2 linked regions of the Caenorhabditis elegans genome follow. The protein of the gene in region 1 interacts with the protein of each later gene in a pairwise test. Each region holds a gene or a part of one and is shown in the gene's direction. Other genes may lie near its edges.

Region 1 (2,824 bases):
CTAGTGTTTTCCCAAAAGATCAAGATTCAAAAAGTCAGTGGAAGTATTTATTTGTCAAGAAGATCAAGCTGTAAAGTTATTTTGAAGAGCAGCCAGTTTCTTGTTGAGCTTCTGAATTTCATGAAAGCTATCAATGATCTTCTTCTGTTCTTCAATGACCATTCTCTGCAAGTAGACTTCCTGAAGAAGATGTCCAGGTCCAAGAATGATTGTTTCACTTGAAGAATCCGAGGTGGTAGAAGATGGAGAAATTGGAGATGAAACAGATTGAGCCGTGCATGGGAGTGATTCTAGAATTAATAAATATTTAAAAAAAACTACTTTCAAAAAAACTTACCATCTTCAGAAATATCGAATTTATGATTAACTGCTCCATATATTTTCATCGAGTCGATTGGAGATTTGACGAAAACTGGAAGTTGTGGGAAAGATGGATGAGCTGGAGAATTCCACAAAAACGTGTTCATATCTTCCGTAGCAACCTCCGTTTTCTCAAAAAATCCCTCGTACTTCCCGAAAAGTGATGCCGTAGATGTTGTGGAGGGTGCAGCAAACAATCCATTCATCTTCTCAAAAATCGATTCCATCTGTTCTTTCTCGTTATCAAGGCAATTAAAGCTCATCCAGAAATTGGCCATAAGCTCCGCAGCCTCATTGATCTTTTTTGATTCTGTAGTTGTTGGGACTGGGGAGACGGTCACCTCAATCAGTTGATCTGCTTGGAGAGCCAATAATGGGCAGCTAATGCTCTTCTTGATCTCCGCTGTAACTCTTGCAGTTGTTGGAACAACTGGGCAAGATTGAACCTAAAATATGACCCTTGGTTTTAAAATCCAGCTCGTTGTACAAACCTTGTTCAAAGCTGTCCTTGGCTGAGCCTTTTCAACGATCGGACAAATGACTGGAACTGTTTCCCTTCTCTGTTCGGCTTGACGCTCGATCATCTCGAGGAATTGTCCAAAAGCAGTGTAGACAGTAATCTTCTTGACCATAGTGTTAGTAGAGTTGATTGTAGTTGGTTAGTAGAGCGATGAAATTCGCAATAAGTAGATTTATGATTTCAAGCTTGTATATAATCAGTCTTATCTTGATGGCCTAAGTTTAAGCGTAGAAAATGAACAAACGGTCACGTAAAATTAGAATTGAAATCTTTTTATTTTATTACCTGATATAATGTTTCAAAAGTTGGGAAATAGCAACACCTGAAGATTTAAGGTTTAAGGTTTAAAAAATGCGACAAAGACATTTTTTGGACAATATTCTCAAAAATAAATGTATCCTTTCATTGCTGAAATTCGTTGTATATGTATGTATAGTGTTTGCCTTATGAGCCAAAAGTTCAAAAAAATTATAATATTAATCGAGAATTTCTGAAAATTGAAGAACTTGATCTTATCGTGAGCCTGCTTGGTCTGCTTACAATAGAGTTGGAGGTGGCCCCAACCCGAACTGCCGAAAGTTACCGTTTCTGGTCTAGATCAAAATAGATCAAGCAATACTAGATCAATTTTAGTATTTTTGTTGCACCTAAGTGCAAAAGAAAAAAGCAATATAAGTAGCTTAATACAAGTAGCATATCACAGAAAACGAAGAGGTAGTACTAGATCAAAATTAGTTTAATAAATAGTCTTCATTTCCTTATCCTCTAGACAAAAAACAAAAACAAAACAAGTAGATTAATAATTAGCATCTCACAGAAAACGAATAGGTTTCCTTTGTTACTCAAAGGTATCAGAACAAGTGTAAATTGATGAAATTATTCAAAATAGCTACTAGCTAAAACTGATTTTTTTTCAAATTTCAACGTGATCTCCTATTTTTGGATGAACTTCCAGATTTAGGGCAGAGATAAGAAGGCTGCTATAAATTTGGAAGATTTTGCCATAATCTTCATAGAGTTCTCATAACTCCTTCATCGAACGACCATGGCCCAATCCGTCCCACCAGGAGACATCCAAACTCAACCGGGTACCAAGATCGTCTTCAATGCTCCATACGATGACAAGCACACCTACCACATCAAGGTGATCAACTCATCGGCTCGGCGTATTGGATATGGTATCAAGACCACCAATATGAAGAGACTTGGAGTTGATCCACCATGTGGAGTTCTCGACCCAAAGGAAGCTGTGCTTCTTGCTGTTTCCTGCGATGCCTTCGCCTTCGGACAAGAGGATACCAACAACGACCGTATCACTGTTGAGTGGACCAACACCCCGGATGGTGCTGCCAAGCAATTCCGTCGTGAATGGTTCCAGGGAGACGGTATGGCTCGTCGTAAGAACCTCCCAATTGAGTACAACCCATAGAGTCCTTGTGAAATAAAAGAGTTTTTTATGAATGCTTGTTCTTTCTTTGAAACAAAATGTAGCCTCACTTGAGCTCTTCCTCTTGATCAGCTGGCTTAAATTCCATGCTTAAATATAACCAAGTCTCGAAAGTATACAAAGAATGTACACAAATTAATCGAAGCAAACCGGGCTCACGAATCCTATTATTTCTACTAGATAAAATTCGATTGACTCCACATCCTTTCCTGTAGAAATTTTTTGTTGCAATTCCTACTAACATGCGAAATGGCTTTTTAATAAAACTGTCTAGAAGTTCACTGAAATTTGCCAACTTTGTAACGTTGGACCACGTGGGTACATTCGAATTTCAAAACAAAGTAAACTCATTTTATTTTCAATCATTTTCATTTCTCAACTGAACATGCTAACCATCGAACCTCCATCTGCCACATTTCCAGCGTCAGGAGGAAGTTCCACGCACACAATTACGTCAGTGAACGAATCTCGAATGGCGTTTAAGGTATTCGATAACT
Region 2 (3,759 bases), on another chromosome or scaffold:
TTTATATTAATAGTATTTTAGATGAACAATAGAATATTCAATAACCTGGATGAACCATCAACTTCCAAGAATGTAATGCCATGCGCCAAAGCATGCAAACTTAAGAGATCATCAAAAAGAAAGCGTAATTCGAAAAATTAAATTTCTATATTTGTAACATTTTCTTCCTGAATTTGAATATGATTCTCAAAAAAGCCCCTTGTTGATTGCCAATTTTAATTTAATTTTTTTCTTCGAATAAACTATTTTAAATTTAAAAAAAAGTGAGTTTGCACATTTTTTGGAACCAGCTTTTGCTGAAAAAAAATGTGTCCCACGATTTTGAACGTCGCTCACTGTATCAATTTTCGAAATTCTTTTCTCTCTACATGAAACAATACTACGTCCATTTCAAGCTCTCAAAATCTAACAGCACAGTTTCAAATTCAAAAACACGAAATGATTGAGAAATAGAGATGCTCTTTTCAGATGGATTACTTTAATTCAATCTCTGCAGCTTTACTTAAACAACGCAGGTAGGAGGCAGATACTGTCGATCAGAGCGGAGCATTGAGCTTCACGTAGCCTGGCTGTCAAATTGTTTCAGTTGTCCATCCATGCACCATGTCTCCTCCGCCGTCGACACAGTAGGGTTTCCAGTCACTTCCAGCTACTTGTTCCAATCCACATCCTGACGTTAATTTCCAATCGATTCAGTTGTACTTCCTGAAATAAACACCAATATGACATTATTTGTAAATGTATTGAGGCAAGCCATCTACAAGCTTATGAGTTTAACAACAAACTTACAAAATAGCTCCCACTTTGGAGTTGTCTTCTTTTTCCTCTGTCTCCTCTATTTATCCTTTGAACGTTTCGTCTTGAGTAGTTTGTCCGGGGGGTTTTTGTGACATATGCCAGTATGAGTATCTGAAAAAAAAGGTTCATACTCTCAATACTCAAAAAGCTGTAAACTTTATGTTTTATAACATTTTAAAACATCAGATTTACACCTCTGACCCGCACTCACTTTAATATTCCGTTTGGTTGAAGTGAACTGGTTTCCAATTCACACACGACTGTAGGTAAATCGGCTCCATCGTCCGAGGTCCACTCGGAGGTTCCTTGCATACTCATATCTTCGTTCACAGCATCGGAATTGTTGAATTGGCATCATCTTCCCATCCTTCTTGGCAGACCATTTGTTGAAAAGTTGAAGACTGAACACTATGACTAAAACTACTTGCTCATATACCAGTCCTTATCAAGATGTACGTGGTCGTTCAAATAAAAATATTTTTTTAAATTGTTTTCCGTATACCGTATATCCTCTATTAGTAAGACGTGCAAAACTAATTTTCGGACACCTAATTTGATGCAAAACTAATAGAGGGTGCAAAACTAATTTTCAAACAGGTTTTTTCTCATGTTTCCCATTAAGTTATAGCAAATATCATCAATTTCAGTAACACCTTATGAACCAAAATGGACTAATTAATTCCACTAAATTCTTGTATTGAATATAAAACTTGTGAATCTCATTGCCTTTTGAAAATTTGATTTGAAACTTGTTAATTTTTTAATCTAAATATTCCTGATTCTGTCATAAATGGTCGTGTTATTTCGTTCTCTAGACCCCTGTGACATCAATTATTTGAAAATCTAGTTTTGACTATAGTTTTTAATTGCAAAACGACTTTCGAAGCGAAATTTAACAAATTTCATTTTACCCCCAAGGTATACGGTAGACAAGTACGCAAACACCAACAACAATATTGCACACATTACACAGAAGTTGCCGACAGTTTGCTAAATCAATGGGATTTTTTTACAGCAGTTTTTCCTTTCTTCACGATAAATCGTTCTGAAAAAGTAATTAAAATTGTTATTTTAGTGTAAAATTTAAAAATTAAATTATTGTTTTCAAAATGCGCGATTTTAAATATTGCAATCTTCATTACGTAGGATTTTTCCGCACTTGAATTCTCCAAATGTTCTCGAAATTTATTGAAAAGCTTTAGAAGCCATGAAGTTTCTGGAAAGCTCCGAAATGGATGTTTTTTCGCAGACACTCGTTACGGGAGCAATCGATTGTGTTATTGATTTCAAGTGAGTCATTTATCTCAATATTAAGAATAAAACAAATCGTTCAATTTCAGATTAGAAACGTATTCGTCGAAAATGGTTACTAGCGAAAAGAAACAATGGAAATCGAACGATAAATCTGTGATATGGGGTGAACGCCAGCCTCTAGGATCTTACGAGGAAATGGTGATGAGTGCATCGCCCAGTGTTGGTCACAATCATCGGCTTCGCCATTTATCGGAACGCTCGTGCTCAGGAGGATCAGACAACGATTTCGACGTGAATGACTACCTGATAAAAGACTCAATTTCGCGAAAGAAATTGTATGATCTGACTCAAGTTCTGAACTGTTCGTTTCCGGATCACGATTTCAGTAATGCCAACAGTGAAGCGTTTGCTCTCGTCAATTATTCGGTTAGTAGCTTCTTACAGCTAAATAACATTAACGCGCATGATTTTTCAGGACCTGAGCCGTCTCGTTGATATGAAGCTTGAGACAATTGTCAGAGACTATCACGTGAGAAGAGAAGAGCTATGGGGAATTATTGATGAGGCAATTGTGCCCGGTGACTGTCAAATATACAGGTATTCCGTTTGATTTGAGAGGATATTTTATATAATTTCCATATTTTTCAGCTTCAAGTCCCAATTCGAAGACGATCCGTTTACCGAAGACGGTTGCATTTGGGCACTTGCCTTCATTTTCTACAACAAAGGACTCAAACGTTTTGTTCTTCTCACAATTCGTTGCCTATCGAAACAAGCCGACACGTCCATCGAAATTTTCCCCGATTTCAGTGAAGACGAGGCGGAACCACAAGAGAAATAGAGTGCAGATTATTCATGTAGAACGCTTAGAATAGACTAATATTCAAGGCGATATAGTATTAGTCTTGCCGGCCAAGCCTCTTTCCCTCTTGTAGTTCTTCTCTTGTAAATAGATTCCATTTCTCATCAATCCTCAACCTCCTCCTTCACCTCTCGAGTTCGCATTTAATTTGCCACTTCCCACACACCTACCGCTAGATTAAAGGAACAAATACTTCGATTCTCATTCCTTTTCGTGGCTCGTAGATATCAATTTTCACAAAAACCGCATCATAAATACATAAAATTGTTTTTTTTAAGTTAATCAAAATCGATTATTTTTTGGTTTCAACCGTTCTGATATTTTAATCAATTTTTCCTCAAATTTATTTGGTTAAGTTCAGTTTAATTTATTTTCAGTGAAATAATGCCGAGCACATCAATGATCGAAGATCGTTCTGAGATCGAACGTCGGCGATTCGAATATCTCGATCATCCGGCAGATATTCAACTTCACTCTTGGGGATCCACAATGGAAGAAGCCTTCGAAGCATGCCTCGTATCAATGTTCGGCTATATGACGGATTTGGCCAAGGTTGATGAGGTAATTTGAAATTGAATTAGATCGCCTCTTGCGCCTTTTAAGAATTTTTCCACTTTCCTCTGTTTTGTCTAATTTTTCTTACTTCACTTGAAATATGCTTATGAACATATGAAATTGCAATTTAAATCGATATCTTGTAGAAATTTTAGCTTTTGTTCGTGTATTCTCTAGTTTTGAAGCTGCTCCCAGAAAAAAGCTCAATTTTTGCCTTCTTGACTTCATTTTCGAACAAAACCCACAATTTCTACAAGAAACTGATTAAAATAAAATTTTAATTTTGCATT

Evidence for each region. Proteins that work in one complex are often made in the same cells at the same time.
Region 2: the proteins of msp-77 (region 1) and mafr-1 interact in a two-hybrid assay, tested with the Caenorhabditis elegans proteins (one large-scale study listed by BioGRID).

Annotation. Positions count from the first base shown.
Region 1 is NC_003282.8:9,892,706-9,895,529, forward strand, and holds msp-77 (Major sperm protein 77/79), read left to right. Parts: upstream 1-1,925; coding exon 1,926-2,309; downstream 2,310-2,824. Other genes in the region: sss-1 (Sperm-Specific family, class S), read right to left, coding at 64-290, 338-806, 852-992; ssp-32 (Sperm-specific class P protein 32), read left to right, coding at 2,713-2,811. UniProt on the Caenorhabditis elegans protein: Central component in molecular interactions underlying sperm crawling. Forms an extensive filament system that extends from sperm villipoda, along the leading edge of the pseudopod.
Region 2 is NC_003279.8:10,621,173-10,624,931, forward strand, and holds mafr-1 (Repressor of RNA polymerase III transcription MAF1), read left to right. Parts: upstream 1-2,000; 5' UTR 2,001-2,005; coding exon 2,006-2,088; intron 2,089-2,138; coding exon 2,139-2,478; intron 2,479-2,527; coding exon 2,528-2,649; intron 2,650-2,700; coding exon 2,701-2,893; 3' UTR 2,894-3,189; downstream 3,190-3,759. Other genes in the region: Laminin subunit alpha lam-3, read left to right, coding at 22-141; arch-1 (Protein archease-like), read left to right, coding at 3,299-3,475.